2 linked regions of the Drosophila melanogaster genome follow. The gene in region 2 interacts genetically with the main gene of each other region. Each region holds a gene or a part of one and is shown on either strand. Other genes may lie near its edges.

Region 1 (5,185 bases), on a different chromosome or scaffold from region 2:
AATGAAAACGTGCGGCATCTTTAATGAATGACCAAAGGGAACTGGAATAGGTAGCCCAGACATCCGTCACGGTTGCGACAACTACATGGCGATCCATTCGATTCACTTGTCTATCCGCCAGATACATTTCTCCATTAGCCAACGCTCAGCCCTCCGGAGTCCCCTCCATTTTCATTTCCATCTCCGACTATTTTATTGAGTTCCCTAGTCTGTTGATTTTTCTCATTTACTACCGACGGTTGTACTGTTGTACCAGACCCTTAACTAATGGCCATCGTTGGCCGCGAGCTGTTTGTCTTTCAGCGCCATAGAATGCCCAACTTTTTGACCGTTCCCAGCCCCCTAGATAAAGTCGGTCCATTGACACGCGGCGATGACTTGGAACCGACTAAAAAGCGAGCTGCGATCCACGAAAAAACACAGACTGCCGATGCAAGAGGCGCGTGATCTCAAAAAAATCACGGAAAAGCTATAAATAGTTGGTGTTTCGAGTCTCGCAATATACAACTTTGAAACAACCCAGCAAACTTTCATTGAATCGCATTTTACTGTATTTACTATATAAATTAGCAATGAAATCAATGCAATAATACACGGATAATTAAAAGATATTTTTAGGTACATTTTTTCTATTTTATCTTCGATAATAAAATATAATGTTCGAAATGTAAAGTAAAAAATACAAGTGATATAGCATTTTAAAGTGTGATTCTCTCCAATGTGGATGCAAAATTTCAGTTGGTCATGTGTGGTCACGCACCGCCCCAAAAATCCAGCAACTCCGCCCCGGGGTAACTTGTATTTTGGCCACATACACAAATTGACGCACCAGAGTCAAATGTTTACAACTCGAAATTCAGCTGAAAATTTTACCAAAAAAAAAAAGTGTTGGATCGGCAAACCCGTTTTGGAGTGCAAACAGACCCCGTGGAAAAAATACAAAGTTTTAATTGGTTGGACAAACAAAACTCAAAACGAGCGTCTAAACAAATCAAAGCCACTCTGCGGCGAACAACGAACAACGTACTGTGAATCCAGACCTCAGACACACCGAAAAAAACAACTCAGATTTACATTTTAATCTCAGATTATCCTAGTTTAAGGGTTTTTGTTAGTGAATATCTTGATCTTTTGTATTGCATCTATTTGATATCAACCACTTATTAAACTATTTACATATGGACTCCAAGTAGTAACTCAAAAACCATGATTATGTACAGTAGGCATTTAATGAAAGAAGTTTCAATAACAACGGATGGGATATAAAGATAAAAGATTCCTTCAACTTCCAATCTACGGCTGAGACAAGGATTCCTTTGACAAATTCAGAGCGTCTATAATAAAGATCACAAAAGATAAGAGACTTTTTCTCTCTGTGCAACAAATGTGAGCAACTGAAACACGTTACACTTAATTTTTGGCGCATGCAAATTGAACGATTAGCCACGGGGGTTACAGCAGGGGTATATAAATCCCGCCTAGGACTCCAATTCTGGGCCTTCTGAGAGTTAAAGGTGTGCTCGCCCTGAACGATCCGACCCACCTGAGAGTTCGATGTTATGGGGGCTCTCTACCTGTTGCCGGGTTCTCGATGGCGATGGCCGCAAATTGACCAGCCGGGTGAGCGAGCGAGAGGCGAAATACCGCCGCTGTCTTACCTGTTAGAGGGTGTGGCCTAACCATCCGTCAGCCAGCCGATCATCGATCGGGCCAAAACGAGATGGCTATAGGACCGGTAGAGAGCTAGCACGCTAGCCGGCCATCATATCATCCATGGGCCAAAACAAGAAAACAACAACGATGCCACGATGTCGATCGGCTGGCCAAAGACGAGAGATGAGAAATAGAGGAACCGAAAGCGCGGCTTGTGATGGTTGAAAAAATTAGCACCGATCGTTGATCATTAGCTCGGGAACGGTGGCAACGCAAACACACGATCGGCGGCAGCGCTAAACTCCAATCTCGAATCTCGACTCGAATCAAATATCTTGAAATCTTTGAAAACAAATTTCACGCGGCTGTATCTTCCCACTTGAATCTGAACTCATACGATAGTGATCCTTGATAAAGTGAACCCTCTAGGGAATTAGTGCTATAAAAGTGCGTGATTTGGCAGTGTTGCGTATTCAACTAAAATCTAAATCTAAACCTAAACCATCTTCATAAGGAGTTTACCACTGGATTATATCGAGAGCGCCGAGTTTCGGCGTGAAGCAGGTTACCAAATTGGTAAGTTAGTTGCACTTTATCTCAATTTTGGTTTCAAAATTTTAAGTTTAAACTTCATAAGAAAGAAACTTAAACGAAAATTCGAAGTTTATTTTAAGAAACGCTTGTATTCCTTTTTAAAACATCTTTATTTTCGAACAGAAGTGTTAAACACTTCGTTTTAAATGCTAATAACAGCTATTAAACATTGCGAAACGTTGACTAATCTTTTTACTATTCAAAAAAGAAAAATCAGACATTTTTACGATGGAAGTAGACTTATGCGTCGGCAAAGGATATGTTGTACTTTTAAATATATATTTGGAAATAATTAACTTTTTGAGAAGAAAATGTAAAAAATGAAGTAGAATTGTGGCAGACAAACACTGACCCCAAAACATATGGCTCCCAAAAAAATCATAAAGTCACTTCTCCGATTCAAAAGTTTGGGTGCCATAAAGTGCGAGTGTTTATTCCTCCGTGTGACATATGACCATAAACGTAATCAAATAGCAAATTGGCAAACCTATTTAAACGAACGTGTGAAAATCAAATGCCGAAGCCAAACAAAATCACCAAACAGACATATTTTGACACTTGGCCAAAAAAAGAAGAAAAAAGTCAAGACGAAGTGTTGGCGGCTCGCCCGAAATCCAACGGGCAAGTGACAAAATCCCCCATTAACGATCCTAATAATACCTCTAATGACATAAAACAGCAGCCGAGAAAGGGGCGGGAGTGGCCGTGGGCGTGGCCGACGTTCACACGCAAATTAGTGGGGACATAAGAATTTTCAGACATGCGTCTGGGTATTGCCAAAAAAAAAACATCAAGTTGGATCGATCTGAGGCGTCCAATTACGACGCATGTGAAAATTATCCTATTAAATGCAAATCAAAGAGGCCCATAAACAGACCCGAAGGAACCCCCCTCACCCCTCCGCAACGCCCACGCAGATCGTTTAGTACTTGACAAATGCTTACTAATTAATTACAGTTTGTACAAAATTTTAGTACGCCGCTCATAAAAGTGCGCCTACCACTGTGCCGTGGAGTGCTGAAAACAAAAGTGTGACAATCGGTGTTTAAAGAAACGCCCACAAATCGCCAAAAAAAATATATCGAAAATATCCTGAAAGGTCACCAAGTTCTCAATGGAGCGACCTCTGACATTGTCCTCCGGAAACATTATTGATTGCATTAGAATCGAGCCAATTCACGGCTATTTCCATTTCAGTTCGCCCACGCAGTATCTAAATTTAAATTCGGTTTATTTTCACGCGAAGTGGTGTGTGAAATTTAGCAGATTCGGTTTAATCGCCTCCAACTGGCTACCAGTGACTTGTCGTCATCCATGCCACCCGCCAGCATCCTGAGCAGGTGCGAAATATTGTCCTTTTCAACAAAGTGCGAATGGGAGTGGGATAAGTCGATCGGAGTAGCGAATAAACAAACAGAGCATTTATTATTGCACGTGTTCGATTACCTGAGAGGAGGGCAATTGTGGTTATTGCTTTGAATTATATAATAGATACACTGGTTTTTATATTTTATAGAAAATCGATAGGTTAGCAACATCATCTCTAACTAATTTTAATACATTTAATATTTTAGCATTTATTGAATTTCATGTTTAACTACAAATGCAGCGCGGAATCAGTTAAAGTTGAACTATAATAATATTATTATAATTATTATAATATAATGAACTATTATAATAAAATGCTGCAAATTTAACATGATTTTTAGTGACTTTAGTGATAATCGTTTAAGAACCATTAGAGTGCGCTGGCACTCCTTCCTTTAAAAGTTAAAGCTGAACCCATCGAAATGTATCTATGAGATTCGCCGAATGTGTTTCCATCGGCGACCATTAGTGCGTACCTGTACATTGAGTACGTAAGCGCCATATTACCAAAGGTTCGCTTCGATTTGGAATAGCGCGCACATTTCATACGAAAAAAATAGGAGGAAAAAACCCCCTCAAAGCGTCTGAGTAAATATCAAAGTCACGAAATGATTCAAAAATCAACAGAGCCAACAACAAAGCGGCTGGCCCGAGATGGGGAAAGAGTCCAATGCAAACCCCAAGCCCCAAGCCCGAAAACCCGTCATGGCTGCCATCAAAAGTCAAAGTATATGCCACATATATACACATGGGCAAACAGTCACACACGCTTCCTCCGCTGAGGAGACAACACACAAAAACAGCTTTTCATTAAGCTTAGTGATGGAGCCGGAGCTGGGACACCGCGTCTTAAAATCGTGGTGCTGGAGTGGCGCGGTGGTGCGGATCGATGTGGAACACAAACACGGCCATGAGACGAGCCATGTGGCGGGGAGCCATGTGGGGGAACCAGCGTCATGAAGAGTGAATTTTTATGATGTCGTCGATGTCGCCTATTGGGCACATGAGAAAAACCCGCCAAGTATCGCGTGAAAATTATGATAATGCGGAGCGAGCACGAGCTGGGAAAATCGGAAACCTTTGAACATTCATAAACTGAATATAACTTTCGAATGCTGGCCCAAAGTGGTTGAACTTTTAAACTCGGCCGATTGAATTCGAATTGAAACTTTTAATTGGGCCCAGCTTCTGGTTGAAATGGTACGGACATTCGGGCAATAAGATGTCCCTGGTTAGTTGACAAGTATGTTATATTAAAGTTGGTATCCACTTTTAGAAGTTAAAATTGAAATTTATCCAATGTAAATGTATCTTAAGAGTTCTGATTTGATTCGTTGTCAACTCCACAACACATGTTTTCGAAAACAGCTCGCTTTGATTGATTCGCTCTCCTTACTTTATAATTTAATAGCCTTCAGATAACACATACATATGCATCCGCTGATTGATGATTGATTTGATTATATGTCTTGTTTTCACCTAGAACCCGCAGGAAAACCTGTTCGCTTCACACCATCAAATTAAACGGTTGACAAATACGAAAGACATCAAACCGCATACGACCATTTGC
Region 2 (6,644 bases):
AAGGATTTGAGTACATATGTGCTCAGTCACCGAAAGTGTTTGATGTTTAATGATCATCACGATGGGATATAGATATCCGAGTGGCAAGCCAAACAATGTTAAACAGGTTAAATATTATGAATACCATTGTTGAGCGAAAGATTTTTTCCTGATTCAGTTTCGCTTATCTCTCAATCTTATCTAACCCATGGTTATTGTAAACAATTATTCAAACAATTTGAAGATAATCTTGAATATGATAAAAATATTACTCAGTAGTGCTTTTGTGAAGGGGAAACGGCTCTATATGACATAAGTCATTAGTCATTATAATTACTCGGAAATGGGGCGATCATAAAAATGTGATTTCTCCCACAAGCGAAATGTTTCATTACATTTCATTGATAATTTCAAAAATTCAATGTCTCAGCGCCTAGATGAAGGCTACAAAAAAGTGAGAGGAGAAAGAACTGCTGCATTGACAAATGGAAAAGTAATGCGGAAATTCCCCGCTTTTCCTCCCGCTCAGGTAGATCTTAATTGAGCAAAACATTCATTGAGAAACGAGACAATCGTCCTTTTATGACACGCAATAATGAGCCTGGCTCACACACATACACTCTCACGGATTGGCACACACTCGCACACGGACACACACACACAGGCACTCGCAGATACACTTGGCCAAGCGAAAGGGTTAAGCGGAATAGGAAAGGCGTCTATGGTTTATGGCCCGAAATTAGAATGCGTTTTATCCGGGACCATAAACGTGGATAAATTGCCAGGATACCAGGAAGTAGCTGCCAGCACGCGCTATCAATGAACTGTGGATGCTTATGTTTCGGGTATCTTAGGTAGGATGCAGTGGGATGCTCGGATGAGATGCGGCTGATGCTGGCCAGATGCAGAACTGGGTCACTTTCGCAATGACTTGCCAAAAAGGTGAACTGCGCCGCTGTTCTGATGATTTGCTGCTGCCGCTCGCGATGCCTCGCCACGAATGCGAATGGGAATGAATGAGAGTGACATTGGCATACCTTAACCTCAAAAGGGAAAAAGCGGTACGGATACGAAAAAAAACTGGCTGAAAAAACACACACAGATATTATTAAATGTCTTGTTTGGGAGCCAAACCCAGCCAAGCCAAGCCAGGCCAGGCCAGGCCAAAACACTCGGTCTTTTTGTTTCTCTCGAAAAACAGAGCGTCGTCGCATTCTCAGTCTCCCCAGAGATTCGGTCTCCAGAACCCGTCTTAATGGTTTTTTTTCCACATTTTTTCTTTTTATTTTCTGATAGCACGCTACGGCGAGAAGGAGAGCGAGCGATTATTGATCGCATTAGGGAAAATCGTTAACTGTAACATGGCGTCGCTCAGCATTAGGCTAGGCCACTGCGAATGTATCTGCAGCTGTATGCGTATCCGGTATCTCTGCCCGTGTATCTCTGTCCGCACCGCTGAGGGTGTGTGAGTGGAGGGCGTTGCTGACTGCGGCCTGGCCACGCCCCCCCAATGGCCAGTTGCCTGGCAACCGGCCCTGCTCTGTTGATACAAGAGGCCAACCGACCAATGCGCTTGCGCCGCAGCACCACTGTGTACGTAAGAGAACCGCCGCCTGTCATTGGTAACTCCGCCAGGGTGGTGGTGAGACGCACTATACCGCCGGGCCATTGGCGAGAACGAGTCGGAGCTGGTGCTGCCCGGGCGCGTCGCTGCTGCCGCTGCCGCCGCTGTCGACGCCGACGTCGGCCGAGGCACTTGAGCGCGGCTCGAACAATATTTGTTGGCAGCAAGCGCAAGCCAAATAGTAGACAAGCGTTCCCCTCTGCAAACAGTCACATTCAAGAGCTCAAGCCAAAGAGACACTCGAGCGGACCAGCAGCTAAAGCGGCAACGGCAACAGCAGCATCAGCCAAAGCAGCAAAAGCAAAAGCAGCAGCAGCAAAAGCAGCAGCACAGCACAGCACAACTCCCAGCTTCAGACTTCAGTGGCCAACAGCCAGCTAGATATTCACGTTCGTGCGTCGGTGTTTTGTGGCCGCTCGGTGCGGCAGACAACAAAAATCCCCATACAAAAATACAAAGAAAATACAAAAAGAATCGAATCATAACAGAAAATAAATATATATTTTATATGATTATCCCGCACAAATAATTAAACCACGGTGTGTGTTTACAAACAAAGCTTAGAATCAGAATCAGAATCGCAAACGGAATCAGAACCTTCCAGCCAACAAGTGACAAGTGCCGAAGTGCTCTCGATAAAATGCCAGATATATGCAAACCGATTGAAGCAGTGATAGTGCACTGAAATCACAGTTGATATACAATATATCAGAGTAAAGCCACGTTTTAAAGACCTCCTTTTTGATTTTCGTTTTAACTAACGCGTTGCAGAACGCGTTGCCTTTTCCATCGATCCACCAGAGGGCAGCGCCTCCGAAAGCCGGCAACATAACGGCGCAACTATTGAACAGCTTTCTGAAGGGTAGCCCCCACCAGACCACCATTGACATCATGCAGAAGCTCTACGCGGAGCCGCCTCCGAGCAGTGCTCCGGTGAGCATGGCCAGCTCGGGTGGCGGTGGTCCTCCGTCGGGCGGCGGTGGAGGCGGCGGCGGAGGAGGAGGCGGTGGGCCCCCACCGCCCAGCAATAACAACCCGAATCCGACGAGCAACGGCGGCAGCATGAGTCCCCTGGCTCGATCCGCCTACACAATGAACAGCATGGGCCTGCCGGTGGGTGGCATGTCATCGGTTTCCCCTCAGGCGGCGGCCACATTCAGCTCCAGCGTCCTGGACTCGGCGGCGGCGGTCGCCAGCATGAGCGCCAGCATGAGTGCCAGTATGAGCGCCAGCATGAATGCCAGCATGAACGGCAGCATGGGTGCGGCGGCCATGAACTCAATGGGCGGCAACTGCATGACCCCCAGCTCGATGAGCTACGCCAGCATGGGATCACCGCTCGGGAACATGGGTGGCTGCATGGCCATGTCGGCAGCGAGTATGTCGGCGGCGGGATTGAGCGGCACCTATGGCGCCATGCCGCCGGGATCCCGGGAAATGGAGACGGGATCGCCGAATTCCCTAGGCAGATCGCGGGTGGACAAACCAACTACGTACAGAAGGAGCTACACGCATGCCAAGCCGCCATACAGCTACATCTCACTGATCACCATGGCCATTCAGAATAACCCCACCAGAATGTTGACGCTCTCGGAGATCTATCAGTTCATCATGGATCTGTTTCCGTTCTACAGGCAGAATCAGCAGCGCTGGCAGAACTCCATTCGACATTCGCTGAGCTTCAACGATTGCTTCGTAAAGATTCCCAGGACGCCGGACAAGCCAGGAAAGGGATCGTTTTGGACTCTGCATCCGGATTCGGGGAATATGTTCGAGAACGGGTGCTATTTGCGGCGACAGAAGCGTTTCAAGGACGAGAAGAAGGAGGCCATTAGGCAGCTGCACAAGAGTCCGTCGCACAGCAGCCTGGAGGCCACCAGTCCGGGCAAGAAGGATCACGAGGACTCGCACCACATGCACCACCACCACCACAGCCGGCTGGACCATCATCAGCACCACAAGGAGGCGGGCGGAGCATCGATCGCCGGCGTAAATGTCCTGAGTGCAGCGCACAGCAAGGACGCGGAGGCCCTGGCCATGTTGCATGCCAATGCCGAACTGTGCCTCAGCCAGCAGCCGCAGCATGTGCCCACACATCACCACCATCAGCACCACCAGTTGCAGCAGGAGGAGCTGTCGGCGATGATGGCCAATCGGTGCCATCCGTCGCTGATCACCGACTACCACTCGTCGATGCATCCGCTGAAGCAGGAGCCCTCTGGCTACACGCCCTCCAGCCATCCGTTCTCCATCAACCGCCTGCTGCCCACGGAGTCCAAGGCGGACATCAAGATGTACGACATGAGCCAGTACGCCGGCTACAACGCCCTCAGTCCGCTGACCAACTCACACGCTGCCTTAGGCCAGGACTCCTACTACCAGAGTCTTGGCTACCATGCGCCCGCCGGAACCACGAGCTTGTGACATCACCAATACCCGCTGGCTTAAGGACGCGCGGAGCAGATGCTGCGCTCGCAGCAGCAACAGCACTTGCAGCAGCAGCACCAGCAACACCAGCAGCAACAGCAGCAGCACCAGCTGCATCAGCAGCAGCAGCAGATGCAGCAGTCGGCGCAGCAACTGACATCCGCTTCCAATACACCAGCAACATCAGCAAAGGCCAGCGGCAAGGCGGGATCGGCTTCGGCCTCGGGATCTGGGTCAGGATCGGGTTCAGGATCGGGCTCTAACTACTCACAGAAGCTGCAACAGCAGCACCAGCAGCAGCAACAACAGCAGGCGGCGGCGCAGCAGCAACACCACCAGCAGCAGCAACAACTGCTGCAGGAACTGCAGGAGGACTCATCGAACATCACCAGCGATCTGAGCGAGGAGCAACTGCAGCAGCATCAGGCCGCCCAGCAGCAGTTGTACAACAACTATCAGCAGTATGCCGCGGCGGCAGGCTACAGAAATTGGAATCACGGCCTGGCTTTCAATGGAGCCGCCGCTCTGCAGAATCTTCTGTAGCTATAGCTATAGATCCCGATCTCCACAGGCAGCGGCTTTGTAGCGGGCCTGCCAATTAGCGAGTGCAGTGGCGGTGGCTTTTAGCACCTGGCCGCATCCGCATCCGCACTCGCATCCTCATCCTTTGAGCACGTGAGTCTTGGGCCGCAACTCGCACTTGTACATATAGAGATACCTATGAAGAGCCGATCGAGAGCGCTGCCTTTTGTGTTGTTCAGTTCCAGTACTATATATTGTAGATTATATAGATTCTGTTCCGGGGGGTTATTAAATCGACATAGAGCAGGAGGAGGAGGAGCGAAAGAAACCGTGATGTAGTTGTAAGTGCAGCAGAACTTTTGTTAACAATTTTACGTTTTGCTAATACAAATACAAAATAATAATTCCGTGCCATTTGTTTTCGTTGTTTCGAAACAAGCAATAACAATCAAAGCGGTTATAACTGAAAATTTGAAATCACATTTTAAATGTATCCGATTAAGGAGAAGATTGAGGAGAGGAGATGTAAAGAAGGGATCGTGTGTAATGTTCTTTCATAAAACAAAGCCCCAAATGAAACAGTCCCAAAAAGAGAGATACAAATACTAAACCCTTTATCCAAAGGCAATCGCAATCGAATTCGAATCGCAAAAGATCAAAACCAAAAAGAAATCTAAAACCGAAATCATCATATTGAGCAGTCCAGCAAAACCCTAAGAATCTTCAACTATCTAAGCAACAAAATCTGGCCATGCATAAGAAAACGACACGTTTTAACTGAATAATTTAACAAATTTCCATTTATATATACGCGCATCGATATACGCCCATGTATCGCAAAATCCCGCATTTCATTTACATTATGTGTCTTCTGTTGTTGTACGAATTCGTTAGATTAAGGCATTTTGTAAATAATCTATAAATAGATACATTTAAGCAACCCCCTCCCCAAGAAACCCAATTTAACTAAGGACCCATTGCAAGCAACCAATTTTTAACTAACTCGAGAATTAATCAAATTGTATGAAATTATGCCACACCACTTGAAAGTAAACATAGTATAAATATAAATACTGTATAGCATTTAACGTTTAATTAGCATAAATAATGAAAGCAAAAAACAAAAATGAAAAAAAATCACATAAAAAGCGAAACTGCAATTATTATTCAATAATTTTTAATATTAGTTATATTGTGCGTAATGAAAAATAAAAAACCAATTGCAAACACAAAACAAAGACCCATTTTTACATTGAGCTAAGCTAATTAATTAAACTTGATAAAAAATAGTCTAAATATAAACACCCACACACACACACACATACTGACACTGACAGACACAGAAACAAATGAAAATTATTGTAAAATACACAATATAAAATTCAATAAATGTCAACGCAAGAATTAAAATCCAACTCTAAAGCTAGTAAAATTAATATTATTATAAATCATGCAAAACAAACACAACGTCAACGACAACCAAAATCGACTATTTTAATGTTTGAAATACAAGAAAAAGGAAAAAAAGTACCATAAATTAGTTTTCATTTCCCAACCTTTGTTGACTCAAGCAACTGACCTCCAACAATCATTTATATATTGATTGGGCCGCCCGGATGGCTGACTATCTCCATCGACGCTATCGACGCTATCAATGCAGCGAATTCGAATTGAACGACCGATAGCTGAGCTGAGTAGTTCCAGGAGTCGCTATCTTATCGCCGTCACTCAGATGCAGAGTGCAGTTTTCCACCACTACCATGCCACGATAAACCCTTATCGCCGTGCACTCATAAATTGCAACGGAACAAGAAGGTAAACAAACAACCAGGATGGGACATGGGACCCATCCCAGCCCATCCCATACCGTCCTATACCGACCCATTCCCGCCCGGACTTGACACACTGACTAACCCATCTCAGTCCAGCACAACCCAGCCCGATCCCTCTGGCCAAAAAGAGCGGGAAGGGTAGTGGATATCTTCTGCCCGACTTGACTCGACTCCCCTCTGTTTGCTTTCTAGTAATATTCATGGAGCACTACGAGCCGAGTTCGAGCACCTTCCCTATCGCTGCAATGGACCTTATCGCT

Evidence for each region.
Region 1: of fkh (region 2) and byn, changing one enhances a phenotype caused by changing the other (phenotypic enhancement), as found in Drosophila melanogaster (one study listed by BioGRID).

What each region holds. Positions count from the first base shown.
Region 1 is NT_037436.4:11,925,795-11,930,979, forward strand, and holds the start of byn (brachyenteron), read left to right. Parts: upstream 1-1,898; 5' UTR 1,899-2,229; intron 2,230-5,185. UniProt on the Drosophila melanogaster protein: Required for the specification of the hindgut and anal pads.
Region 2 is NT_033777.3:28,580,404-28,587,047, reverse strand, and holds fkh (fork head), read left to right. Parts: upstream 1-1,783; 5' UTR 1,784-2,494; coding exon 2,495-4,027; coding exon of another isoform or gene 4,028-4,573; 3' UTR 4,574-6,072; downstream 6,073-6,644. UniProt on the Drosophila melanogaster protein: Fkh promotes terminal as opposed to segmental development. In the absence of fkh, this developmental switch does not occur. The nuclear localization of the fkh protein suggest that fkh regulates the transcription of other, subordinate, genes.